Linked DNA regions of Mus musculus. The protein of the gene in region 1 interacts with the protein of each later gene in a biochemical or structural test. Links are inferred from orthologs where the notes say so. Each region holds a gene or a part of one and is shown in the gene's direction. Other genes may lie near its edges. The genes, in order: Erbb2, Plcg2, Sla2, Sh2d2a, Src, Sh2b3 and Shc1.

Region 1 (3,500 bases):
GCGGTAACCAATAGGAAGTCTCTCTCTCAGCAGCTCGGGCACCTGTGTAGACAACCTCCACCCGCCTTCTCCCCCAACCCCCCAACCTCCTGGGCAAGACGCACAAGGTGATTCATCTTCTCACCGGAGCAGAAAAACAAGTTCAACTGGGCACTTTAATCTCTCCCCTGCTGGCAGGCTTGGTGCCAGCTGCTACCTAGAGCCCCCTAGCTGAGGGGCAGCTTCTCCTATGTGAGGACTTAGTGGGAGGAATGGTACCCCAGCCTGAGGGTCAGGCAGGCTCGGAACGGCAGTGCACCTTGGGGACCCCCTTTGGCTGATAGTTGGCACCGGGCAGGTACACAGAGTAGTGTGCCCTTGTGGCAGGAGTCTTGTGGCATACCTTCTGCCAGCTGCTTCTGGAGTTTTGCCCCAGGAGGAGGGTGAGAGAGCCAGTGTAGGAACCTGCAGAGTGTCTCGCCCTGTTTAGGATCTGCAGCCAGGCCTCCTAGCTGATATCCTAGGCTTTTCTTCTCCGTGTGGATGCTTTTCCAAAGAGCTCTCCCATGATGACCAGGCCCCTGCCTGCCCTCCTATCCCAGCAATGACTCCAGTCAATCCTGTTTGCCCCTGTTTTGGGGGGCACTCTGGGGACAGTTGTCTTGATCAGGGAAGTTGACATGTGGGTGTGTTGCGATGGCAGGAGGAGAATGCCCTGAGCCTGTGTGCGTGGGAGACAGATGGGGGTATCCAGAGGGGCCTGATTCATCATCGCCTCTCTTTGGGGATTTTTCACCCTCAGTTCTGGGACAAAGGGAGGCTTTCTTTGCAGCATGCTAAAACCCAGTATGGGTGGTAAGCCCTAAAGGGCTGACACATTAGGGTCCCTCTGGCTGCCCAAGGTGACCCTGCTACAGGGGGCCTCTCTCCAGCTTGCCAACTCTTTCCCAAACAGAAGAGCATTCTACTCTAGGCCCTGTGGATGCAGAGGTGTGGGAGGAAAGGCTGTCAGCCATGCTTTCTCCCTGTCTGAGGTGACAGGACTCCAGGGAGTGAGTGTGGAGGAGGTGACTAGATTGGAGAGGGTCGTGGCCAGTGTCCTGACCCACTTCCTCCCTTCCATCAGTGTGTACCGGTACCGACATGAAGTTGCGACTCCCTGCCAGTCCTGAGACCCACCTGGACATGCTTCGCCACCTCTACCAGGGCTGTCAGGTGGTGCAGGGCAATTTGGAGCTTACCTACCTGCCCGCCAATGCCAGCCTCTCATTCCTGCAGGTGAGACCTGGTCCTGCCGAGCCTCCTGAGTCGAGGTGTGTGAGGAAGGGGCAACTACATTCCTGTATTCGCTCTCTTGTGGTTCCTCAATCAGGAGTGCCTTTCTGATAGCTACTTAAAAACCAGTTGACTCCCTCTGCAGTGACTGGCCGTGGTCCAGCTGTCCCCAACACTATTCCTTTAGGGCTCTTAAGTTCCAGGTCCAGCCTTTTGGATGTGATCTAGACCCTTAGCTTCTCCAGGCCTCAGTTTCTCTCTATATTGGACTAGCAGACATCCTGGCCTACCGTTGTGGATCATATCCACAGGCCCTGGAGTGAAGCTGCAAGGAATGGATGTGGGTCTGTTAAATCACAGATACCATCTTGTACAAGCCCTCGATACTGAGATGTGCAGAGAGGTGGGGCACCGCTTATCAGTCCTGATCTAACAGACAAGAATCTGTTGAGGCCAGTGAGGAGTAGCCTAGGGCTCCATCTTGGATCTAAGGGGTCAAGACTGCTCAGTGTCCAGTGGGACCATGCAGGACACAGCCCCAACCCTGTTACCCTCAGGCTTTGTGAGGCACAGGCGCTTCGCCAGCCCAGCCGCGCCTCACTGCCCGTCCCCTGCCCTTCCCACCAGGACATCCAGGAAGTCCAGGGATACATGCTCATCGCTCACAACCGAGTGAAACACGTCCCACTGCAGAGGTTGCGCATCGTGAGAGGGACTCAGCTCTTTGAGGACAAGTATGCCCTGGCTGTGCTAGACAACCGAGACCCTTTGGACAACGTCACCACCGCCGCCCCAGGCAGAACCCCAGAAGGGCTGCGGGAGCTGCAGCTTCGAAGTCTCACAGGTGCCTTTCCTGTCATTGCAAGGGTTTCCTGGTTCTTGGTTGCCGACTAAGCTGTTCTGGCTGTGGAGAGGCTCCGTGAGGATTAAAAGTATGGTTCTCTCAAGCTCCATGCAGGCAGGCTGAGCCTCCCTCTCTTTTCACCCCAGTGACAATAAGGAAAAGAAGGTTACGCAGTGGCTCGGTGTCAGAGTGCTTGGTTAGCATGGACAAGGCCCTGGGGCTTGATCCCTTCCTCTTCAGGAAGATGCAGCTTTCATTAGTAGAGGTCAGGATATTTTGTTCTCTCCATTTTGGCCATGTCAGAGTATGTGGTGAATAACCTGTGGAATTGTATGTGACAGCCCCGAGCTGACAGTGTCCCAACTAGGGTACCCGGTGCTTTGCGTACTGGACCCCACTCCGGTCACGCTACAGACGTGGAAGCCCTGCTGCTAAGCCTTCCAGTGTTTCTTTTTTGTTACGTTTATTTTGGTTTTTCTGGTTTTGTGGTTTTTGAGACAGTGATCTCACTACCTAGCCCAGGTAGACCTTGATTCCAAAGCAGTCCTCCTGCCTCAGCTCTCTAGTTCTGGAATCCCCGGCATGCCACCACCAGCTTTCTCCAGTGTTAGCCTCACTCCACAGAGGAGCAATCCGAGGCAGGCAGGGTCACGCAGCCAGTCGGTGGTGAAGTGGGATTTCAGACTTCAGAGACATTTTTGTTGTTTTTGTGCTGGGGATTGATCTTAGATCTGGGGCAGGATGGGTGCTTGTTCTGCCACTGAGCCTCTCTGTTTGCCTCCGCACAGTGAGCACAGGGTGAGGCGAAAGGCCAGTGGGGAGCTCCCAGCCACGTGAACACCGCCCACCGCCCCCACTGCCCCATCCCCTCTTCCTAGTCCCTTGTTAATCTCCTGTGTGGCTGGCACTCACAGGGAAGTCAGGAGCCCCCAAGAGTGGTCAGGAAGGGGCTGACTATCTGTCTTCCCCACAGAGATCTTGAAGGGAGGAGTTTTGATCCGTGGGAACCCTCAGCTCTGCTACCAGGACATGGTTTTGTGGAAGGATGTCCTCCGTAAGAATAACCAGCTGGCTCCTGTCGACATGGACACCAATCGTTCCCGGGCCTGTAAGCCATGTCCATGGGACAGCCCACCTGACCCAGACAGCCACCCATCCCACCTTCCCTGTCCTTGTTCATCTCCCTGCCCGTAGGCAGGGCCTCCACCTCCTGAGGCCTCTTTACTTTTTGGGTCCCCCCCTTCCTGTGCAACTGTCCTTGGGCTCTGCGACATATTCCTCCCACCCGCCATTCGCTCCTCCCTGCGTCCCTCTCAGCCTCCCTTTTTCTTCCTGCTTCCTTCCTTTGCTTCCTTTCTCCTCTGGACTTCCCTCCCTCACTGCCTCTACCCGCTTTTCCTGC
Region 2 (3,500 bases), on another chromosome or scaffold:
AGAATATTTAACACTATATAGTAACTTTTAAAAATTAGTGAAATAAGAACATGCTGCTAGGTCAATTGGCTGAAAGGACCCAGAAAGGCTTACAAAGCAGGTGACAGGCTGGGGACGTAGCTCAGTGGCAAAGCTCTTACCTAACATGCATATGGCCCTGGGGTCAGTTTCCAGTACTGAGGAAAATGTCAGTGAATGAGGAAAAGTTACTAGTGAGGTTGCATGATCTGATCTGCTGCTGACTGTCAATGCAGCAGGAAATCTGTATCCGCTCTTATCCGCTCCCAGACCACCCACTTAAAGAGTCCTGAACAATACCAAGAATCCAGAAGTAGCTGTTTTAAGAGCAGATCTTATAAAAAAAAATCATTATAAATGTGAAAACTGGCGCCGGGCTGCCCCAGTGAATGCTGGGGTGATGTCCCATAGGTCCTCAGAGTCAATAGGGCTGAGACCTTGGGGGAGACTAATGCCAGCCTGGCTCTCTAGAAATGGACGCGCCACTACTGTGCCATTGCTGACGCCAAGCTGTCCTTCGGTGATGACATTGAACAGGCTGTGGAGGAGGAGCCGGTCCAGGTGGGTGGAGACCTGCTTGCCTTCAGCCTTCTGGTCTTGTCCTTGGAGAATCCCCACCTGGAGACTTACTGTGTGGCTTCTCATACCTGGGCTGGCTTGAGCATCCTTAGCTCTAGGGCGATATTGCTTTGGGTAGCAAAGCTTAACTAGCTCTTCCTGATTGGCTAGCTAGCCTAGGGCTTAACCAGTAAGATTTGAGGCTCTTTCCTGCTTCCAATAGGGTCTGACTGGCCTTTGTCCAATGCCAGCAATCCCCGGAGGGTGTAGGTGGGAGGTGTGATGGAGGCGCCCCATGCCCTGCGCTGCATGTTCCCTCTAGCTGCTGCCCATCTTTGGCCTTTTTCTTGAGTAGAGTCCAGGCCTAGTTCAGGCTTCTGGTACTGGGACTCCTGAACCCCTGCCTTAGGACTCCTGGAAACAGCCATCAATGAGTTGTCAGGAGAGGGCAGAGCGAGCTGTAATAAGCCCTTTCGGATGCTTGTGGCTCAGGACACTCCCCCCACGGAGCTGCATTTTGGGGAGAAATGGTTCCACAAGAAGGTGGAGAGTAGGACCAGTGCGGAGAAGCTGCTGCAAGAGTACTGTGCTGAGACCGGGGCCAAGGACGGCACCTTCCTGGTGCGGGAGAGCGAGACCTTCCCCAATGACTACACACTCTCCTTCTGGTAACGCCCCCTTCCTCGGAGGCTGGTGGGTGGGAGGTGGTGTGGTCAGGCTGTGTCCTGCCTGGCTCTGATGGGACATCCCTGTCTCTATTCCCAACAGGCGGTCTGGCCGGGTGCAGCACTGCCGGATCCGGTCTACTATGGAGAATGGGGTCATGAAGTACTACCTGACCGACAACCTCACGTTCAACAGCATCTACGCCCTCATCCAGCACTACCGTGAGGCACACCTGCGCTGCGCGGAGTTCGAGCTGCGGCTCACAGACCCGGTGCCCAACCCCAACCCACACGAGTCCAAGCCGTAGGTTCCTAGGATTGGGTGGGTGACCCATGGAGGTGTGACCACTATGGGGTTCTCATTTCCAGGACCCCGTTCTCTTTGACAATGTGGGTTCTTAGAAGTCTATGATAACTATTCCCACTTGTCAGACTTTGTCCCATCCTCTCTCTCTCTTCTCTCTTGCTTGTTCTTTAATAATTTTATTTGTGCGCTCATGCGTGAGCAAGCATGTGTGGTATGTACACGCGCGTACAGGGCCAACTGAAGCCAGAAGAGGGAGTTGCATCCCCTAGGGCTAGAGTTAAAGACAGATGTGGGCTGTCTGCCATGGATCCTGGGAACTGGTTAAGAGCACTCACTCTTTTTTTTTTTCATTTCAGAGATATTTATCTATTTATCTATCTATCTATCTATCTATCTATCTATCTATCTATCTATCTATCTATCTATCTATCTATCTATTGTGGCTGGCCTTGTGTAGGTACTAGGCCACATGTCCTGGAAAATTAGGTCACATGGCTGCTTCCATCTTGGTGAGGTCAGCAGCTAAGATGGCTGCCATCACCATGGCAGCTTCTATCTTGGTGAGATGTTTTCTCGAAAATCCTGGGCTCATCCTCCCAGTCCTGTATGAACTTGGGTGTCCTGGCTGTAATCCCAGGACTCAGTAGATAGAAACAGAAGGATCATACCATCTGGACCATTGCCACTCCTGTTCAAAACGAGACACTTGTTATGGTGGCTCCTGGAGCTCCCATGACCAGCTTCATTCTTTTCCTTCCTCCGAGTTTCTGAATCTCCACTGGTCTGCCATGTGCCTCCGGAATCCTCTGCTTCGTCCTCCTCACAGCCTCACAGCATCGCTTTCCTGTTTGCCACCATTCACTGTGATTTGGGGGTGGGGGTGACTCTTTTTTTTTTTTTAAGCTAAAAAAAATTATGAGTATGAGCGGTTTTGCCTGCATGCATATATGTGCACGGTGTGTATATGATGCCCACAGAGGCCAGAAGAGGGTGTCAGATCCTCTGGAACCGGAATTGCAGGCACTTTGGAGCCACCATGTGGGCCCTTGGATCATAAGCGCCATTAGTGCTCTAACCACTAAGCTATCTCTCCAGTTCTCAATGTTTTGTTTTCAACCCAGGGTTTCTCTGTGTAGCCCTGGCTATCTGGAACTCACTCTGTAGACCAGGCTGGCTTTAGATTCTGAGATCCACCTGCCTCTGCCTCCTGAGGGGAGTGCTGGGATTAAAGGTGTGTGCAGCCCAGCTTTTTTTGCGTCCTTCCTTCCTTTCCTTCCAGCTTCCACTTCTCTCTCCCCTCCATGATTTCTTCCCCCTTTCTTCTCTTTCAGTGCCCTGAGGTCTGGGGCTTTGATCTCAGAGACCGGTTTGGGTCCGCAGTGTCTGTGCTTGTCAAGGCTCCCTCTGTGGTCAAAGGAATCACAGTATAGGGCTCACGATAGCAATCACGGCAGTACGTAGTACTCACGCTAGTCCGTAGTACTCAGCCAGTACTCACACTAGCACTCACGATCTTTACTTACGATTAGCAATCACAAGGACGAGTTCCTTTCTCCTTTCCCTCTTTTATCCGCGAAAGAGAGAGTTCCAGGCCATCCCTGGCAAAGAGGTCAACACATTCCAGAAATACCAAGATAATCGTTAAGCAGGTGGATTTAACATTTTTGCTTTTGGAGGAAGCTGAATAATTTACAGTGACATTATTATTAGTGTTGTTATTATAATAATGATTATTATTAACATTTCCTGTTTTCATACCAGTTGCCTTTCCAAACTTGTCATTTTGTATCTTTAGTAACCAAAATCTTTCTGAGCCTCACCCGTGTTCCCTGCCCCAGATGTTTCCCTGCGACACTGCTGTAGCTCTCCAGCCTTTGGGGCTGGGCAGGTGGGCAGAGAAGAGACTCCCCTGAGTTTCACCTTGACCTCCTCATACTCCTGGGGTCTTGATA
Region 3 (3,571 bases), on another chromosome or scaffold:
ATAATTAAAGGCAGAGGGGGCCAGAGGATGCCTCAGTCTGAGAAGTAGCTGCTTTGCAAGCATGTGGTCCTGAGTTCAACCCCCAGCACAGATGTGAAAGGCCTGGCATGGTGATGTATGCTTGTAATCTTAGTCCTGAGGACATGGGACAGGAGGATCCCTCGGGCTGGCTAGCCTACACATATAAAAACCCTTCCCTTGCTGACCTTTTAGGATGGCTGTCTCCCAAGCATGAGCCTGCCCTCTCCTCCCGGCTCCCTTTCCACAGCATAGCTTAAGCTGAAGGGCACATGTACCTAGCCTGGGTAAAGAGATCACTTTCGTTCATTGCTTATAGACCTGAGGGTTTCTATCCAGGGATGCAACAGAATTACCTACAGGAATACTGCACACCCAGCTTGCTGACAGGGTCCTAGGCTGGGGTTGAGCATGCTCCTCGCTCACACTGCTGGCCTGGGGAACTTACGCTGAGAACTAGTTCTTAGCTGTTACGTTGGAATCGCCTTGGAGAAGCTTATAACACGGATGCCTGCACACCGGTTTAAATGACCAGGAATGTGTCTTGGGATCTGGAATCTGAAACAGTGAGGCTCCTCACTGGACAAGGGCACGTTTGTAGTGAAGTAGAGCAAGAAACCCCAGTGTGTGCTGGAGTCGGGAGTCCTGGAGAGTCAGACCTATTTCAGATACTAAGTGACAGTCTGCATTTTTGTTCTGTGGTTCAAGGGCCCAAACCCTAAACTGACACTGAGTTCTAGTATCCTGTGTGATGTTACATAGAGTGCTGGTTCTCAGATCAGTCATTGGGATGCTCTGGTCTTTGTGTGAGGTCGTGGGGATTTCCTAACACATAGTAGTGTGCACACTAGGCCAGCACTTTACCGCTGAGGTACCAACCTCTGAACTTTACTGTACTAGTGGCCCAAACAGGCTGTTTGTGAGCATGGTATCTATGAAGAAGAGCACCGTTAACACCAAACTTTCCAGAGTGACTTTCTCTCTGGCCATGGTGACATCTACTTACTTTCTCATTCCAACCCTGTGCCACCTGAGTCTTTATCCATACAGCCGATATTTAATGCTCACCCATCCTGAGGACCACAGAATCCTATTACAACTAATAGTCTTTATCCTGCCTTTGACCCCAGCATCCCCCTGAAGACTGGGCTGTGGCTATTGTTTGTTCCTTCTTCCAACCTCGGCAGGGCTGAGTCTCTACCTGGACCCACCCTGGACCCTTTCCTCCTTAGGCTGCTATTCCCTGTCCGTCCGACTCAGCCGCCCTGCATCTTGGGACCGGATCAGACACTACAGGATACAGCGTCTTGACAATGGCTGGCTGTACATCTCACCTCGCCTCACCTTCCCCTCACTCCACGCCTTGGTGGAGCATTACTCTGGTATGTATGGCTTACATTTTGCCTCCACTGCAGACTGGATGAGGGGCCTAGGAGATAGTCAGTTGTGCCCTTAGAGGCTTGACCTGCTGGAGCTATACAGAGGAGGCACTTCTGCTATCGATCCTTATGCAGCCCTTGTGCTAAGATGTGAGTGGGAGCTGCCTCCATCCCATGATGACAAAGAACTACAGGCCAACCATGAGCCTGGCCAGAATCTCACAGGCAACGGTGATTCTAAATTAATGTGCACAGAAGCTGAGTTCTTCCCACAGGAACCAGACTGTGCTCTTCCTGGGTGCAATGCAATCCTTAGCTAGCATTTCTGATGTCAAGGAGACAAAGGGGAAAACCTTATTGGCAGTGGTGGTGCACACCTTTAATCCCAGCACACAGCGGGTGGAGGCAGGCAGATCTGAGTTCCAGGCTAGTCTGGCCTACAGAGTGAGTTCCAGGACAGCCAGGGCTAGAGAGAAAACCTGTCTTGAGGAAAGAAAAAAAGTATGTGTGTGTGTGTGTGTGTGTGTAGGGGGACACCTCTTGAGAAAGTTGACTTGGGGTTTCCTACAAGGTGGTTCTATACAGTAGGTACGATGGGTCCCAGGCTGACCTCTCCCTACTTGCTTCTCAGTTTTACACAGAATTAAGTACCCCATAACTTTGTCCAGTTGACCTTTACCACCTGTCTGCCTTTATGAGACCCATCACTTGAGACTTCACTTCCTATTACTTTTTGGCAACCATGCCCTCAATATGCCAAGCACAGAAAACTCCTGGGGCAGGTACCATATCACAGGTTTGGATCTCTTCCACAGAGCTAGCAGATGGCATCTGCTGTCCCCTCAGGGAGCCGTGTGTCCTGCAGAAGCTTGGGCCACTACCTGGCAAAGATACACCTCCACCTGTGACTGTGCCAACATCATCACTAAATTGGAAAAAGCTGGACCGGTAAGAATATTTGAAACATAAAGGCAGAATAAGAAATAGACTCACAACCCACAATGGGGCTGTCACATTCAGGGACACTTCTAGAGTGCAGCCAGGCTGAAGCAGTGTAGAGGACAAGGCAGAGTTGGGAAAGGGAGGCATGGACCTCAGGGGAGCCAGGTAGGATGTAGGTTAGGCTGGGTGGGTGATCACAGTCCTGCATAGGGAGGTAAGATGGAGTAAGATCAGTAAGAAATGAGGAGCCTGAGTTTGTCAGTGACATGGTGCTATTCTGAGGCAATGAACTGTGTGGCAAGCACAGGGGAAGTGACTCCTTCACCCGCTGTCCCCCATCCACAGCAGCCTCCTGTTTCTGGAAGCACCTGCGAGTGGGGAGGCATCTCTGCTCAGTGAGGGGCTCCGAGAGTCCCTCAGTTCCTACATCAGCCTGGCTGAGGACCCCTTGGATGATGCTTAGCCCTGGAGCACAAAGAGAAAGGGAACCAAGACTGTGGCACCGAGAGCTCCAACTCCGCTGACCCTGACAAAGCTCCAGGAGGCAAGGCTGGGAGAACAGAGACGGCTGGGGTGGGGCACAGACACTCGGGGCCTCACCTGGGCTTTCTGATAAGTCATGTATCTCCTAAGGCCTCACCCCTACCTACTACTTCTAGTCCATGTGCAGTGCAGTTCAAAGCAGGGCTGGCCTCTACAGAGAATAAAATACTTCTGAGGTCTGATAAGTCACTTCCTGAGAGAAATGTCCAGTACAGCAGCTACTCAGCCCTACTAAAAGACAGAGAGAGCATCACTACCATGGAGAGAAAAAATATTGGGAACGCTCACAAGTCTTTTCCAGAATGCAAACACATCTCAGATGGTAGGATGGCTCAGAAAGCATTGACAAGAGGAACACTGGATGGCTTTACCGCAGTAGACCCCACCTAACTCCCACGCACGAGGAAGACTGACAATCCAGATCTTCCCATGATCTCCCATCAAGTCCTTTCAGCCAACTTCAGTGTTCAAACAGCCAGGTCCTCCCCATACCCCCGTTTTGCCACCTGGTGGTCAAACACAAAATGACACCGTTTAAATCTCACATCTAGCCCAGTCACCTATCTCAGTACTGAGTCAGGACATCAGGTGGTGGACCCTCTCTGAAATGCCAATACCAACTCCAGCCAAAAGAGAAAGAGTCTGGCTGCTACTGCTGCTGTGGGAGGAGAGGGAGGAGGGAAGAGAGC
Region 4 (3,234 bases), on another chromosome or scaffold:
TACTACAAGTAGCAATGGCAGACAATCTAGTGGTGGGATGATCATGTGTGGTGGCGGTGGTATATGCTACTTAGCTTAAGAGAAGCTCTCAGGGAACCTCCACTTTCAAAAAGTGCAGACACTTCAGAACCATTGTGTGTTGAGCCAGAGGTTAAACACCGAAGAAATAAACAGTGACAAATATACCTATATCTCCTGGCCTTCGTGCGGCATCTATTCTAGGACAAGGCAGGTGCCATAAGTGATACAGAGAACACACTGATAACAGAAAGGATGCATGCTAGGAAGAAAGCCAAGCAGAGATGGAGAGCAGCAGGATAGGCAGTATGTCACACAGGGACAGTAGAGAAGGTGGGGGACATCTGAATAGAGGTCTGGATGGTTGTAAGAGGGAGCAGTGCAGACGGCTGGAGGGAAAGCTTTTGGGTTGAAAGTTACAGCAGGGGCAAAGACTCTGAGATGGGAGGATGTTTGATGTGTCTGAAGACTGAGCAGTGAGGAAGCAGCCTCACTGGATGATTGATGGATGGAGAGGTCAGAAGAGAGGTCAGAAGGGTGACGTGACTTAAGGGGCCCCTGTGGCTCTCACAAGGCTCTAAGGTTTTATTCTGAATAAGATTTGATTACACTGGGGAGTTAGAAGCAACAATCTCACCTGACAGGGTGGTGAGGGCCTGACCAGGCGGCAGGAGATGAAGATGGCTACAATGTTTCAGAAGGTGATGGGCGGCCAGGGCCAAACAAGGCCACTAGAGATGAAGACAGCTGCTATGTCAGTGTTTCAGCCAGCTGTTGATGGTTAGCACAGGGAGGTTGAAGGAGTAAGAGAGGGCCTGCTGGCTGTTTAGATTGTAGAGCAGGGTCTTTGCAGAACAAATGAAGAATGGAAAGACGTCTAGATGAAGGCTAGAGAAGGAGCCTGTCTGAGCCAGGTGTGGAAACATTTGTAGGCTGAGGTGTCAAGTCGGAAGCTGGGGGCTCAGAAGTAGCTGGAGGGGCTTGTCCAGCTCCAGACTGCAAGTTGCCAGATCCCCAGGAGAAAAGACCCCTGGAATCCACAGGACTGGATCCAGCCGGGAACAAAGGTGAGAACAGGAACTAGGCCCAACACAATCAAGCTTGAAGGTCTGAATCCTTCTAGAGCAGGAAGCCCTGGCTTGGGGTAGAAAGACTGGGTAAAGATGCTGCAGAATGGCGAAAGTGGGAACCAGTGGGGAGATGTGTGCACCTGATCGGTGGTGCCGGCTGCGTGAAGATGTGAGCCACGGGCAGTGGGCAAAGCACAGCTTGAGTTGGTTGGATGGAGAAGGGTGAGGTATTGAAGCTGACCTTCCTGCTGTTTGGGCAGCAGGGTGAGCCTAGTGCTTTCTCAAGGAGAGATGAAGTACAGGGTGGACACGGAAGAAAGAATTCTCATTTGGATCTAGGAAGCCTTGAGTAGATCGTAGGTCTCTGGAAGTGGAGGGCGCATGGAGCCCTTCGTGAAGCAGGCCTTAATGCTGAGCTAAAAACATAACTACTGTGGGGTAGCTAGAAGGGAAGGTTCGTCTCTCCTGTGGTGGTCTCTGCCCCTGAACATGTAGCTTCTGTCTTCATATATTAAGCTTCTTGAGCCTGAAGAAAAAAGACCCAGCAATCATAGAGGTTGGTCCCCAGACCGATTGCTTTGAAGGCAAGGACTCCTAAAGCCTAAAGCCTCCTAGTTTTGCAACCATAAGTACAAATGAGACTGTCTTGGCCCTGAATTCCAGATAGTTGGTTGTTAGACAAACGGGTGAAAAGAGTTTGTTTCTGTCCACAGTCCCCAGGCCTCCTCCATGCCTCCACTCCACCTCTCTCACAGAGAGCCCAGCCCACAGCACACTTCTTCCCCAGTCTCTTCCATCCTCTCCGACCTAATTGCTGTTCTGGGATCACCTGATGCCCCCACCCCGCCCCAACCCTTCAGGCCTCCTTTTTTTCCTGCAGACAGCTGAGCCTGCTGGACTTTCCCTAAGGGCTGATTCAGACTCTGGAAGCAAAAGACAGGACCCAGACACCCAGCTCAGCCTGCTCCTCCAACAGGGCCAGGCCCAGGCCTCAGGACACACAGAGAAAGTATGGGCCTCCCAACAGAAGGCGGTACTATATTGGTCAACTCAACCTGTGGGATGGGGGGTGTTGGGGTGTCAGGGCCTGGAGAAGGGGACACAGGACAGAGGAAGAAGCCAGGCTGTCATAGGTAGAGGCTCAGGCTGAGATGGGCCTGGGCTTAGACCCTGTCTCCACGGTTCTCATTAATTTTCTTCCCTGGTCTTGCCTTCTCCCCCTAGACATCCCAGGCATCCAGACCCAGGCCGCCCATCCCCGCCAAGCCTCAGCTTCCTCCTGAAGTCTATACAAGTCCTGCTTCACGACTGCATCAGGCCCCACCCATTAACCCCATCTACCAGGAGCCTGATGAACCCATAGCCTTCTATGCCATGGGGCGGGGCAGCCCTGGGGACGCTCCTAGTAATATCTATGCTGAGGTGGAAGGGCCATCGGGAACGGCGCCCATTGGACACCCCATCCTCCGAAAGTGCTGGTCCAGGCCTATCTCAAGAGGCCAGGTAAGGGAGGTACAGGGAAAGATAAGCTCAAGGAGTCGAGCAGAAAGAGGGAGCCCCTCCTGAATATCGGGCAAGGTGAAGGTCAGCAGGCTGAAGCGAGATGGAGTGTTCCACGCTGCCGAAAACCTTTGCCCAGCTCCAGGCCTAAGGCTCTTCCTGGACATTCACGTGGACTCAGCTTTGTCAAGCCCTACCTGCCCCTACTTCAGGTTTCCTTCAACCACTCTCCATCCCAGGCTGCCTCTCATTGGTCAGGCCTTCCTCACACACATGTGACACTGACCCAGCTCCCTGGAGAGCGTCACTGCCAGTGGGCTCAGAGGAGGAGGCTGCCACACTGTGTGCTCACCCTCACAGTTTCCCCACAGAGTTTCAGTCATGTCTGAATGTGGTATTACTATTAAAGGAGTCAGACTCTTTCCCTTGTACCTGCGTCAGGTCCTACTTCAGGCTTCCTCTCTGCTGCCACCAAAGGTCCCTGCTTGGCCCTCACCAGCCCAGCTCACCTGTACCCTACCAGCCTTCTTAACCCTGGGTCCATCCAGGCTCTGCCAGGGTTCCAAAGCCACTCCAACATCAATTGAACCAACCTCACTCGCACCCTGTGTGGGCGCGCGCATGAGCGCGCGCGCGCACACACACA
Region 5 (4,153 bases), on another chromosome or scaffold:
TCCCCTCCCTCAGCCCAGAGTGGCCAGTAAAGGCCATTAGACAAATCTTAGGCATGGAGGAGGGCGGAGAAACCTGCTCCTCCAGCCAGAGCCTGCCCAGGGGAGCCCTGGGAAACTGCCGTTAATCTTTAAGCAAGCCCTGCGAACAGGAGTGGCTGGCTAGTTTGCCCGCTGTTCATGAGAAACCCTGAGCAGTCCCCGTGGCCACAGTGGGCTACCCTGGCCCCACTTGCTCTTGTCAGTGAGGCCCTCAGATCTTCAGCCTGGCCCACTCCTTCTTCACAACAGAGGGGGCTGGAACAGGAAGCTAGTGGACAGAACACACCCTGAGGCACCTGGCCTAGATGTGACCTCAGATCAGTCTGACTCAAAGCTTTGCCCTTTCCTGGTCTCCTGGGAGACATAGCTGTACCCTGGGGCTGGAGCCTCTCACAATCTAGGATGATGGGGGACTTGCCCTTTGGGAGGGATCTTTGCCAGAAGCCCAGGCCTGTGCCACATGAACCTCAGTTTCCCTGTCTGTGAGATGGAAGCACTTTCAAGGAAGGAACATGGAGATGGTTGATAGATGGTCAGGCCCATCTTTCCAGAGTGAACGGGAGGAGTCAAGGATGCTCCTGGACCCCCAACGGGCAGCGCTAGAACCTGGTGGTCTTTGAGACCAGCCTGAAGCCACATCTCATCCCGCTTGCCCCATTTTTCTTCTCTACTTCCTGTCCGGTTGGTTCTGTCATCCTCAGTGGCTGGCAACAAGCACACTGCCCAGCAGATGCACACGGTCTCCTTATGCATTGAAAGTGAATTTAGGCTTGGCCTAATTGAGCTGGGCCCCGCAAGTTCCTGCCCTCCATTGGCAGAGGCTGGAGGCTCCGCAAGTTCAAGGCCAGCCTTGGCCACATAGTGAGCCACTGTTTTGCCTTTTGATACATTTTAACAATACTGCCTCTCCCCCTCACTATTTCCCTGTCCCTTCGGTTCCAGTCTCTGAGGATTAGAGACACTCAGGGTCAAGGCTGGTGTGGCCAGTGCCTCAGTTTCCGGACAGTGCTAGCCACCGGTGCGTAGCTCAGGTAGCTAGGGTTGAACGCTAACGTGGTCCCGGGAGGCCGAGCCCGGCGCGTGGCGTGGGGTTGGGGGGGCGCCCCCGCGGGCGGAGCTGCGGGGGGTGGGGGGCTGGGTGCGGGAGGCGCGGGCCCGGCTCGCACAGCAGGTCTCCCGGGTCGCCGGCGGGGCCCGGGTCCGCGCTTCCTCCTTTCTCCGGCTCGCGGCGGCCGCGGCCCCTCCTCCCGCGCGCTCCCTCCCCCTCGCCGCCGCCGCCGCCACCGCCGCCGCCTCCTCCCTTTCTCTCGGTCTGTCTCTCCGGGCCCGGAATCCAACCGGCCGCCCCGCCGGAGCGGCCAGGCCGCTGCCCGCCAGCGCCGCGCGCCCCGCTGGGGTCCGCCCGGGCGCGTCCGGAGCTCACGGTCGCCGTGCAGGTGAGCGCCCCCGCCCCGCCGGCCCCGCGCCCTGCTGCGGGCTCCCGCCCTGCCCACTCTACGCCGCGGCCCGCGAGCTGCCCGCCGCGGCCTTTTGTTGGGATGCGCGGGGGAGGACGAGCGGGGTGCGGGGGGCACCGGAACGCGGGGACCCTCGGCCGCAGAGTCCCCTGGCTCGGTTAGGCCACATTTGAAAACCCGGCCGATCGGCGCCGCCCGCGATCGCGGCTGCTGGGCCTGGCGCCCCCGGCCCGGAGTGGGCGGTGGGGGTGGGGTGGGCGTTGGGGAAGGGGCACCTGGAGGGCCACACTACCTCCTTAGGTCTCACTGGGGCCTTGGGTAGGGCCTAGTGCTGCTGGTCTGGAAGAAACAGGGCCACCCTGTCCTCGCCCCCCATCCCCCCCAACCCCCAGCCTCGCCCCTGCGCAGGCCCAGCGACCGATGGACTCAGAAGTTGGCAAAAGTTTTGGGGTTTCACTACCGCCACCAGGTCCGCTTGCCCACCCAGGCAGGTACTGGAGGTGAGTTTGTGCCCCCTACTACGACCCACCACCACTTGTGCCTTAGTTAGCTCTCTGAGCCAAGGCCCTCCTCAGTGGTAGGTGGGCTGGTTGAAGGGTGGGGTGAACAGAGGGGACTCACTCTGGGTATCCATCCCATAAACCTTTGAGGCATTCCGATTAGAAAGGTGGACAGAGGTGTGTGAGGCTTCTGGGACCCTGAGGTCTTCCCGGCTTTACAGACTGCCCAGTGAAGGCAAGTGGTGTTGGGGTCATCTGGGTATAGGTCAGATTTAGTTACCAAGGTGGACACGGGGGCGGGGGCAGGGGCGGGGGCAGGGGACTCTTCCAACCTTATGGAGTCCAGGTGTCTAGGTTTCTTGTTTTCCTGAGTGACCTGAGCCAGGGACCGCCCCTTGGACTATTCACATCAGTGACTATTCCCTGCACTTCCGCAGCCCAGGACTTGGCATATATGGGGGGGCGTGCTCAATAAATGAGTCCCATCCTGGAGCTCGCTCGCACAGGATGGTTGAGGTACCTGTGGCACAGCTGCCTGCAGAAGCGGGTAACTCCGTGCTACAAAGGGTTCCCTTTGGCCTCAGTCCTCTCAGGGAGGATCGATCAGTTGGCTTGTGAGGTAGCTCGGTGGTAGAGCACAGGCTCAGCTTGTTCAAGGCCCTGGTGCTAGCTGCAGAACCACAGGAAAGAAAATGGAGCAGTTATAACCAGAGCTGCTGATATCCAGTGAACGCCTCCCGGGGTTAGCCTGGTCTGCAGCTGCAGAGGAGGATATAGCCTTCCTGAGGAGCTGTCTGGCTGCCCTTTAACCCACCGTGACGGTGAAGGGTGTGTAGTTTTAGATCAGGCACAAGGCATTGTTGGAAGTTTCCCTCCATATCTCTCGCACCTGGCAGAGACATAAGGCCCTACTGGAGATGAGGTGTGTCTGGGTGAGGTAACCTTTCCACAAGGGAAGTGATTTACAGTGTGTCACCTCTCAGCTGACCTCCTGTCTACATCATGGGGCACACACTAATGAGTGCTAGGAGTGCCATGCTCCCTGCTCCGTCCCCTCCCCCTAGTCTCTTGTTCATCCTTGTTCATCCCAGCCTTAGGGCAACCCTAATCTCTCCCACCCCACCTTCCTCTATCTCCTGTGTCCTTTTCCCGAACCCCCTCTCCCCCACCAGCCTCCAGCACATAGGCTGGCTCCTGTTTGGGGCTTCTTCCCTGATTGTCATCTGAGGGTGGGGGTGAGGATAGGGTGTGTCTCGCTCCCCTAGCCCCCCAGGAATCTCGGAAGGACATGGTTAAATGATCTTTGTTCTTGCTGTCCATCTGCTGACTTTGATCGCGCATTGAGCATATACTATGCACCAGGGCCTGGGAACTTTGTTGAGCAGCTTTGTGGTAGGAGGAGCAGACAGCTTCCTGGAGGAGGGGCTTAAGCTGAGTGAAGCAGTGGCGGGCCAGCCAAGAATGCAGCTGGGTCAGTGCTCTTCCTTTCTATTCAGAAGGTCATCTGCCTGGGGACTTGCTGGGAAACTGTGAGCAGGTCTTTGACTCCTAGAAACTGGAGTGTGGGGGATAGGCCATGCATCAAGCAAGTGGCCAGATAAATGAATATATACTCGTGGCTGTGATAAAGGCAGAGGACTCTTGAAGGAGGAATTTAGGGGGCGTCTGGGCATGAAGCTAGGGGAAGGTGTGCCAGGCAGAGAGAGGTGTGTATGTGCAAAGGCCCTGAGGTGAGGGGAGGTGTATAATTGTTGTGGGGAACCAAAGGGAGAGCTATGAGATAGGATGATCCAATGGGGCCGCTATCAATAGGACTGCTCCCTATGAGGGCCCACTGGAGCCTGGAGGAGGATCTTGGCCTCCAGTTTTTACATAGGGAGCAGGTGGGTATCCTCTCTATGAACCAGATTAAGCTGGAGGGCAAGGTACACAGCTAATGGAATAGATGTGCAGTCTGGACTTGCATATTCTGTGGGAGCCCTGATCAGGTCTCAGAAGGAGGAGGAGGAAGAGGAGAAGGAAGAAGAAGAGGAAGAAGCTAGGTTTAGTAGGAGTTCAACCCAGAAAGCCAGAGGCACTGAGAGCCCAAGGATCAGGAAGTGCAGTGCAGGGTCGGGGTGAGGGTGAGGGAGAAACTTGGGAGGGAGCTGGAGAGCA
Region 6 (4,104 bases), on another chromosome or scaffold:
CGCCCCCACGAGGGAATCACTAACTGATGTCCACAAACACCTTATAGTGCCTAAGACATTGCCTTGGCTCGTTTTTTGGGGGTGGGTGGGTGGGGGCTTCTTCCAAGCCATTTTGCTACCAGGCTCCAGCTTGCTGCCGTCCGATTGTAGTGGAAATCCCCACCTACGGGGGAGTCCCTTCTTCGGGCTCCAACAGCAGGCCCGGGGACTGAATTCAGCCCGGTTGGTTAGGCTGCTCTAATGTGAGCAACTCACTTCTTCCAGTCCCTGAGTGGGCTGGAGACACGTGTTATTTCCATTTCATAGATGAAAAAACTGAGTTGGAGGGGGTCAAATATTTGGTCCCACGCAGCAAGGGGAAGGCTCCAGGGAGCCAGCGGCTCGTGGGAGCCTGTCGTCTGGGAAGGCTTGCAGTGGCCCCTCCAAGCTGGGGGCGTGGGCGGCCTGCTTCCTGTTGGGGGAGGGGGAGGGGACAGGCATTCCTCTTTCCCCTCCCTCCGTAGAGTCGCGGGGAAGACTGGCGTGCAGTGAGTGACTCCACTTCAGAACAGGGGCACCCCACTGTTAGCCAATGTGGCGATAGAGAAAAGGTAAAGGGCTAAGGGGCGCGCAGGCGTGGACGTTCAAAGGGCTCGGCTGCCTGGGATGCGAAGGAGCTCTTGGAGAAAGTTTCATCAAGCTAGAGAATGCGGCCGGGCGGCCAGGTAGAGAACAGCCTACTCGGCCCGTTCCGGGACTCCGAGGACCTTAGGAGGGGAGCGGACTTCAAATGGATGGCGCCGCGGAGGCAGGACGGCTCGGCGGAGTCATGGATAGTGGGGCCAGGGTGGGGCTGGCCCCTTCCCCTGGAGGTGATGAAAACCGCGGTCGCAGTTGCTAGACCCGGCCGGGCAAGCTCAGATAAGGTTGGGCTTGGAGGGAGTCCGCAGGGGCGCGCCCCTAGGAGGTCCCGAAGGTCGGGGCAGCCACGCCCATCGCGCGCCTAGCCCCGCCCCACCCCTTCTAGGGGCCCCGCCTTGCCGAGGCACGCGGTGACTGGCCAGCGCGAGAGGGGCGGGACCGAGCACGCTCCTCCCCTTCGAGATTCTTTATTTTATTATTATTTTTTTTCCCTTCTTTAGGGGGCGCGACGCAACTTGGGTGCAGAGAGCGCGCCTTATGGGGGCGGAGCTTGTCGCTATGCTACCTCCCACCGGGCAGCGGGCGGAGGCGCGAGAGGAGGGCGGGGCCGGGATAGGCTCCGCCCCCGGCCTCCGCAGGCGGCCCCGGGGCGTGGCTCTCTGTGGCCACGCCCCCAGGCCGCCCTCCGCCGCCGCGCGCGGCTCGCGGCTGGTTCCTCTTTACATAACGGCGTGGGGCGGCATGGGCTCGGGCCGTCGCCTCCGCCTGGCCGCTCTCCAGCCCAGACTGTCACGGGCCACACGGGGTCCACATCGGCGGCGGCAGCAGCAGCAGCGTCCTGGGGACGGCCCGAGGCCGCGTCCCCCGGCTGCTGTCAGGAGCTGGCGGCGGAAATGAGGCGCTGGCCGTTTTCCGAGCCGGGGTTTCCTGCCTGAGCGCCGAGAGGCCGTGCGACGCCATGGGCCGGCCGGGCCCCGACCCGCAGCTTGCGCGGTAAGCGCGGCCCGCCGAGCGTGTTGGAGGAACTGGGCCGGGCGGCCGTCCCCGGGTCCCGCTTCTGTTTTCTGGCGTTTCCTCATTCTGTTTCTCTTCCCCAATCCCAGACCGCAGTGATGTGGGCGCGGAGGTCAGTGCTTTCAGCTGGGGCCTCCGGAGAGGAGCCTGGCGGGGCGCCGCGGGAGGAACCGAGAGCTGTCCCGGCACACAGCGTGCTTGGGCCCCTGCCGGGGGGGGGGGTGTGCTGGCGGTGAGGGTGGGAGGGGGGGACACGTGTGTCACTAGTGCCCCGGTGATCAACCAAGGATGATATGCGGAGTCCTAAAGGTGAAATCAGCCAGAGATGGGGGAAGGGGGTGGGACAGGCCATGACAGGCCAGGGCCCGCTGGGGGAAGTTGAGGTTATAAGAGTTTTATGCTCTTAGGACACTTTCTGAACCTTGTTCCCCAGGCCTCCTCTGGGAGGAAACGCCATCTGAGCCAGGAGGGGTGAATACATTCTGGAACTTGTGCAGTCCCAATGGGTGGTCAGCTGGGAAGGGGCTGGCCCGCAGCAGCGGCAGCAGCTGTGGTTTGGGGATCTCAAGGGCTGGGCAGTGACAAGAGAGGAAACCGAGGGTCCTAGAGGCAGAACTTGTGTTCTTTCTCCTCTGCTCTCCAAGATGAGGGTCGCGACCTCAGTTTCCCCGCTGTTCAGTGAGTGAGAAGAGATTTGTGGTGCAGTTACAATGAGGTGGAGTTTTAATGAATGCTGTGTGGAAGGCACCTGCGTCCGGCTGGGAGAAGGGCTCAGTTACAGGCCGTTGGGAGAAGACCTCAGTTACAGGCCGTTGGTTTTCAGACTGTCCAGTTTTATTGACCCTGGCCCTGGGACCGTCCTCGGCTCTCTCCTGAGCATAGCTGCTCTGGGGTTTCCCGAGTCTGTGGGCAGGGAACTCTGAAGGACCCTGGGCAGGGTCAGATGACAAACCCCTTCCTGGCCTGGGTTCCCTCAGTTGACACCTAACTTGTGAGGGCCACCAGAGCACAGGATGGCTTGATCAGGAGGGCAGGCAGTCATGACAAGGGTGTTATCTGTTTTGTTGAGGTCATTTGCTGCTCCTCTTCCTTCCTGACTCTCTGGCACCAAATGTCACCCAGTGCCTGGTCCTCATCGTTCAAAATGTTCTTAGAGAAGTGACGGTCCTTTCCTTTGAGTAGCTGGGCTGTGCCATCAGCTTGTGTGCCTCAGGCTGTCTAGGCTAGTTGGGCCACCATCTGGTTTCTCCCACTTCTGCGATAGAGCTGAAGGTGCTTGGGAGCCCCTTCCGGCTGCCTGGGCCTGTATCACACCCTTTCCAGAGCAGGTCTCTGGGGGTCCAGCCCACATTGTGAGGCTAGTCAGCTGCTGAATGTCCCATTGCTGTGACTCTTTGGGTGGGCACTTCTGTGAGGCAATGAAAAAGTCATCAAGAGCGGGAAGGGTTTTAACTGCTGGCACGAGGAGATGGGACAGATAGTACTGTTAAAACTAAAACGAGAGGTCTTTCCTTTCAAGTCCTCATTTCTCCCTGGAGCAGCACTTGTGTGGAGACTAATCCAGACTCTGCTAGCTTCAGGGGTGAGGCCCTGGGCAAGTTACCTGACATCTCTTGGGACCTGCCCAGTGTCAGCCAAGTCTTGTGCCTCTCTAGGTGGTTGTGCACTATGTAGGAGCCCAACAAGGAGAAGACATTTGAAGCAGGTAGGCAGTAACTGGCCTGACTCTGAGATCTTAGGCTTGGGTTGTGCTGTCTCAGAGTTACAGGTGTTCTTGGAAGTCTGAAGTGGAGGTGCTGAAGGACAGAGTCGGGGAGAGGCATGCAGTATTGGCATGTTAGTGCTCAATAAATTTAAGCTATTGCTATTAATCCATTGCTATTAATCCAGGAGTGGCTGGCCCTTAATTGCCAGGTTTCCTGGGAAAACGGTCCCCAGGGCCCCTTGGGTGTTGAGCATCTCTGGTTGGGCAGAGCAGGAAGCAGCTTCCATCTGGAGTTTCTGGAGGGGCTGCTCCTTCCTGCCAGGCCTGTTCCCGGCCACCCACCCTCCCCGAGGAAACTGAGGCTGGCACACCGCTTAGGGGAAATGACTCAGTGGGGGTCACTAGCTGAGTCATACCTAGTTGGACCCAGGAGCCTTGCACCCCAGCTTCCAGCTTCCGGGGGCTTGAGGTCCTTCAGGGACCGGGTACACCTCAGGCCTGGTTGCATGCCCTTGGGCACTGTTAGACACCACCTGCTTGCGCCCCATGATCTGGACAACCTGTGTCTCTTGGTCAGTGATCTAGGGATCTCAGTGACGCCCCCGCCCCCACCTCCTGCATTGAGCTCTCCAGCCCAGTACCATTCTCATTGGGACAAGAGACAAGTCCCTAAGGGACCTGATGGCCTGCCCCGCCCTGGCCAGCCGGAAACCCCAGCAGCTGAGCAGATGGCTGAAAGATTTTTCCTCCCACACAACCCTGTC
Region 7 (3,985 bases), on another chromosome or scaffold:
TAGACCAGGCTGGCCTCGAACTCAGAAATCCACCTGCCTCTGCTGGGATTAAAAGGGTGCACCACCACACCCAGCTACTTTTTTTTTTTTTTTTTTAAGGGAATAAAGCGATAGTTTATTCTGGAGCTATTTTGATTGGTCACTTTCTTTAAGTTCCTGAATGGCCTTAAGCAGAGCTGTGGCAGGAAACTGTGGGCAAAGAAATATGGGTTTGGTATTATTATGCACTTATGGCCAGACTCCAACTTCTAATATCCCTTTCTCCTTCCTGTCTTTATTAACACAGATTTGTTTATGACCCTATTATCCCTTTGTGGCTTGTAGGCACCAGTTCTGTTTCTTTCCCCTACCTCCAAGGCCAACTCCTCCACTAGCCTGAGGTACACTGTCAGGTGGTTTACTGCCTGTAAGGAGTAACAATATATCTGTAGGTCCGAGGGGTGGCTGCATGTCTCTGTACCCTCTGGGGAAGCCCTACTCCCACCCCCCAAGTCTGTTGGTCCTTGGTGACTTGTAGAAACAGGCTTGCTCTAGCTCTTGTCTGGTAGCCCCCTGATGTACCACCAATAAATTGGCCTTTATTCCCATTTTAGCTTGTCTTTCCTCTTGGCTTTGCACTATATCCACTGGGACTTACTTTCTCTCCCTGGTTCTCTACTGTGGTCCACAGCTGTTGTGGTGGAGGATGCTAATGGCCCAGGTTCCCTGGAGCTACCACCTCACTCACTGTATGGTGGGGATGGGAGTGGTCTGGGCTGTCTGGGCTAGGGGGCTAGTCACGTCTTCAGCCAGGACTGGAAAGGAAATGCTAAACTCTGGGGGACATCTCCCCCCTTCCCCTCCCCGCCCAGCAGCTTCTGTTTCCTCTCTATCCCTTCCTGTCTTCCTGCTCTCTTTGGCTTGCCCACGTCGGTTTGGATTGGTCCAGAGTTTCTCTTAACTCCTTCCTTTCTTTTTTCTCTTTTGCTTATTTTTCCATCTTTTTTTCGCGCCGGGCACCTCCTCCTTCCCAGACAGTTGTTTGTATTGGGCTGGGAGAGTGGCCTGGCTTGCACAAATTGTGTGGGGAGGTGTCTCAGCCCCTCTGAGCCTGTGAGTCAGCACTGTCCTGGGGATTGGTCTCTCTCCTTAGTTCCCCGCCTCTGGGGAGGAGCCAGTAAGCTCTGGGTCCAGCCTGTACTCCTCAGCCAGTAGAGGTTTCCTAGCTGGGCTGTGCAAGGATGTGCTCTCAAACTGTCTAGGTCTGAGTTGGGAGAGCAGAGGTCACTTGTCCTTCGCCTCCCCAGGTCATCTGTTATCACCGGGCTGCCGAGGTCAGACTAGGCTAAGGGCCTGGGGATGCCCCCTGCCTGGCCCCCTTGCCTGAATTGGCAGGGGGGCCGGGCTGGGCAGCAGCCCCTCTTCTCACCCCAGCCATGGATCTTCTACCCCCCAAGCCGAAGTACAACCCACTTCGGAATGAGTCTCTGTCATCGCTGGAGGAGGGGGCTTCGGGGTCTACCCCTCCGGAGGAGCTACCTTCCCCATCAGCTTCATCCCTGGGACCCATTCTGCCTCCTCTGCCGGGGGACGATAGTCCGACTACCCTGTGTTCCTTCTTTCCCCGGATGAGCAACCTGAAGCTGGCCAATCCTGCTGGGGGGCGCCTGGGGCCTAAAGGGGAGCCAGGAAAGGCTGCTGAAGATGGGGAAGGGAGTGCAGGGGCAGCCCTTCGGGACTCAGGCCTCTTGCCCCTCCTCCAGGACATGAACAAGCTGAGTGGAGGCGGCGGGCGCAGGACTCGGGTAGAAGGGGGCCAGCTGGGGGGCGAGGAGTGGACCAGACACGGGAGCTTTGTCAATAAGCCCACACGAGGCTGGCTGCATCCCAACGACAAAGTCATGGGACCTGGGGTTTCCTACTTGGTTCGGGTGAGTGCATACCCCCCTCCCACTCCCTCCCGTCCAGTTCCTCTGCTCACTCCAGATTTGCCAGGGACTCCCTGCTCTTCCCCCAGCAACATCTGTGCCATTCTCTCAGTTCTTAGACCTGGTGCATTCCTTCTTCAGGTCTCTGCCCTTAATTTAGCCTGTGAATCTTCTGCCTTTCCTCCTTTGGTCCCAACCCCCCCCCCCACCCCCCCAGTTCACACAGTGCCCAAGCACATCTGAGGCTTTCTGTAAAAGTTGAATGAAAATGACTTCTTGATTATTCCCTCTAGACTCCTCCCTTTTCCAGAGATGTCACTCCATCCCACTCAATGTTTGCTACTCCTCTCGCAGTCCCCCCATGGTGCACGAAGTTCCTCTTTTGTGGTCTTTCTTCCCTTTTTCCCCTTTGCCATACACCTATGAAGTGGAAGCCCCAGGCAGTAGGAAGGCTACTTCAATCTACTTTCCTTAGGAAGTAAGGACTATATAAGGCAAAGCCCTAGAACCTTCTGCAAAGGGCTTGCAAGTGTGGGGTGGGGGATGGGGTCAGCTGATCCATTCTTCCCTCCTTCCCCTACAGTACATGGGCTGTGTGGAGGTCTTACAGTCAATGCGAGCCCTTGACTTCAATACCCGGACTCAGGTCACCAGGTTAGTGGGAAGGCGGGTATATTGCTGTAGTCTTAAGATTACTGAAGTTACAGAAGTCTCAGTAAGGGGGAGGAGGAAGTTGGGCATTTGATGGTGTTTCTGATGGTGACTTCTCATGGGCGGTGAGAGAATTGAAAGTCACAGAAGTAAGTCTGACTAAAAAGAGCCAGCTCTGGTCTGGAGCACACCTTCCCTTTCTATCCAGCCTTGGAGATTGCGGGAAGATGAGCTAGAAAAGGCAGGGGTAGGAGGTTGCTGATGCTTTGGGGAAGGGAATGGAACATTCGGTGGCTGGGAAGAGGTGGGGCTATAGCCATTGAAGCCCTAACCCAATCAGCCAGGAAGCGGCCCCTCGGTGTCATCAAATATTAAAGGCCCTTAATTCAATCCACCACGACAAAGAGCCTGGAGTGCTCTGGGAGTCTGGCCTGGTCTTCCCTTCCCCCAGCTCTGTGGCGGCCCCAGCCAGGGGGGCAGCCCATGGTGGGTCTGAGTACTCCTGTTTCTCCAGGGAGGCCATCAGTTTGGTGTGTGAAGCTGTGCCTGGTGCCAAAGGGGCGACAAGGAGGAGAAAGGTATATGTGGTGGTTGGGGCTGGGTATTGGAGGCAGGGGGAAGGCACTTCAGGACATAGCGGATGGGACAGGTGTTTCCTCAGGCTGGGAAAGCTCAGATTCTGAGACTCTGGGCCCTTTCTTAGCCTTGTAGCCGCCCACTCAGCTCCATCCTGGGGAGGAGTAACCTGAAGTTTGCTGGAATGCCAATCACTCTCACTGTGTCTACCAGCAGCCTTAACCTCATGGCAGCCGACTGCAAACAGGTAGGTAGGGCTGCTGAAAGGGACCAGAGATAGTTATGGGAGCATCAAATGGGAATCAGAGACCAAAAGCTCGGAGCTCTCAGGAACAACTGGACAGTAGAGGAGGAAGAAATTAGAAAGGTTAAGGATAGTGACACCCTTATCCCAGCACTCAGGAGGCCGAGGCAGGTGAATGCCTTTGAGTTCCAGTCAGGGCTACACAGTGAGACCTTGCACCTCACCCCACCAAAAGAAGAAAGAAATCAGGAGAACACTGGGTAAAAGACCAAGAGAATGAGCCTGGGGCTCCAAGGTTCTGCACTGGGGTGGGCCACAAGCCCTGAGGCTGCCTGACATTTACCATCCCCTCCTTCTCCATCCCCACCCTCATCAGATCATTGCCAACCATCACATGCAATCTATCTCTTTCGCGTCCGGTGGGGATCCGGTGAGTTGGGGACCAGAGGAAAGACTGGGGTGGGGAAGAAGAGACATGGGGCTAGAAAGATGCTTGCTAGAGGCTGAGTGTGGTGGCACACACTGATCCCAGCACTCACGGGACAGGTGACTCTCTTGAGTTCCAGGACAGCCAGGGCCATGCAGAGAAATCCTTGAAAAACCAAAA

The links.
Region 2: the proteins of Erbb2 (region 1) and Plcg2 form a complex in vitro, tested with the Homo sapiens proteins (2 studies listed by BioGRID and IntAct, with this or other methods). The link is inferred for Mus musculus from reciprocal best matches to the Homo sapiens genes ERBB2 and PLCG2.
Region 3: the proteins of Erbb2 (region 1) and Sla2 form a complex in vitro, tested with the Homo sapiens proteins (2 studies listed by BioGRID and IntAct, with this or other methods). The link is inferred for Mus musculus from reciprocal best matches to the Homo sapiens genes ERBB2 and SLA2.
Region 4: the proteins of Erbb2 (region 1) and Sh2d2a form a complex in vitro, tested with the Homo sapiens proteins (2 studies listed by BioGRID and IntAct, with this or other methods). The link is inferred for Mus musculus from reciprocal best matches to the Homo sapiens genes ERBB2 and SH2D2A.
Region 5: the proteins of Erbb2 (region 1) and Src form a complex in vitro, tested with the Homo sapiens proteins (3 studies listed by BioGRID, with this or other methods). The link is inferred for Mus musculus from reciprocal best matches to the Homo sapiens genes ERBB2 and SRC.
Region 6: the proteins of Erbb2 (region 1) and Sh2b3 form a complex in vitro, tested with the Homo sapiens proteins (2 studies listed by BioGRID and IntAct, with this or other methods). The link is inferred for Mus musculus from reciprocal best matches to the Homo sapiens genes ERBB2 and SH2B3.
Region 7: the proteins of Erbb2 (region 1) and Shc1 form a complex in vitro, tested with the Homo sapiens proteins (2 studies listed by BioGRID and IntAct, with this or other methods). The link is inferred for Mus musculus from reciprocal best matches to the Homo sapiens genes ERBB2 and SHC1.

What each region holds. Positions count from the first base shown.
Region 1 is NC_000077.6:98,418,984-98,422,483, forward strand, and holds part of Erbb2 (receptor tyrosine-protein kinase erbB-2 precursor), read left to right. Parts: intron 1-1,105; coding exon 1,106-1,257; intron 1,258-1,881; coding exon 1,882-2,098; intron 2,099-3,071; coding exon 3,072-3,206; intron 3,207-3,500. UniProt on the Homo sapiens protein: Protein tyrosine kinase that is part of several cell surface receptor complexes, but that apparently needs a coreceptor for ligand binding. Essential component of a neuregulin-receptor complex, although neuregulins do not interact with it alone.
Region 2 is NC_000074.6:117,588,775-117,592,274, forward strand, and holds part of Plcg2 (1-phosphatidylinositol 4,5-bisphosphate phosphodiesterase gamma-2), read left to right. Parts: intron 1-489; coding exon 490-579; intron 580-1,068; coding exon 1,069-1,244; intron 1,245-1,344; coding exon 1,345-1,545; intron 1,546-3,500. UniProt on the Homo sapiens protein: The production of the second messenger molecules diacylglycerol (DAG) and inositol 1,4,5-trisphosphate (IP3) is mediated by activated phosphatidylinositol-specific phospholipase C enzymes. It is a crucial enzyme in transmembrane signaling.
Region 3 is NC_000068.7:156,873,651-156,877,221, reverse strand, and holds the end of Sla2 (src-like-adapter 2), read left to right. Parts: intron 1-1,205; coding exon of another isoform or gene 1,206-1,250; coding exon 1,251-1,400; intron 1,401-2,212; coding exon 2,213-2,345; intron 2,346-2,684; coding exon 2,685-2,802; 3' UTR 2,803-3,071; downstream 3,072-3,571. UniProt on the Homo sapiens protein: Adapter protein, which negatively regulates T-cell receptor (TCR) signaling. Inhibits T-cell antigen-receptor induced activation of nuclear factor of activated T-cells.
Region 4 is NC_000069.6:87,849,755-87,852,988, forward strand, and holds part of Sh2d2a (SH2 domain-containing protein 2A), read left to right. Parts: intron 1-1,968; coding exon 1,969-2,121; intron 2,122-2,312; coding exon 2,313-2,654; 3' UTR 2,655-3,234. UniProt on the Homo sapiens protein: Could be a T-cell-specific adapter protein involved in the control of T-cell activation. May play a role in the CD4-p56-LCK-dependent signal transduction pathway. Could also play an important role in normal and pathological angiogenesis.
Region 5 is NC_000068.7:157,422,940-157,427,092, forward strand, and holds the start of Src (neuronal proto-oncogene tyrosine-protein kinase Src), read left to right. Parts: upstream 1-1,353; 5' UTR 1,354-1,475; intron 1,476-1,888; exon of another isoform or gene 1,889-1,996; intron 1,997-4,153. UniProt on the Homo sapiens protein: Non-receptor protein tyrosine kinase which is activated following engagement of many different classes of cellular receptors including immune response receptors, integrins and other adhesion receptors, receptor protein tyrosine kinases, G protein-coupled receptors as well as cytokine receptors.
Region 6 is NC_000071.6:121,834,060-121,838,163, reverse strand, and holds the start of Sh2b3 (SH2B adapter protein 3), read left to right. Parts: upstream 1-1,304; 5' UTR 1,305-1,614; exon of another isoform or gene 1,615-1,747; intron 1,748-1,904; exon of another isoform or gene 1,905-1,944; intron 1,945-2,059; exon of another isoform or gene 2,060-3,340; intron 3,341-4,104. UniProt on the Homo sapiens protein: Links T-cell receptor activation signal to phospholipase C-gamma-1, GRB2 and phosphatidylinositol 3-kinase.
Region 7 is NC_000069.6:89,420,436-89,424,420, forward strand, and holds the start of Shc1 (SHC-transforming protein 1), read left to right. Parts: upstream 1-1,185; 5' UTR 1,186-1,415; coding exon 1,416-1,910; intron 1,911-2,293; exon of another isoform or gene 2,294-2,385; intron 2,386-2,490; coding exon 2,491-2,561; intron 2,562-3,072; coding exon 3,073-3,136; intron 3,137-3,261; coding exon 3,262-3,381; intron 3,382-3,754; coding exon 3,755-3,808; intron 3,809-3,985. UniProt on the Homo sapiens protein: Signaling adapter that couples activated growth factor receptors to signaling pathways. Participates in a signaling cascade initiated by activated KIT and KITLG/SCF.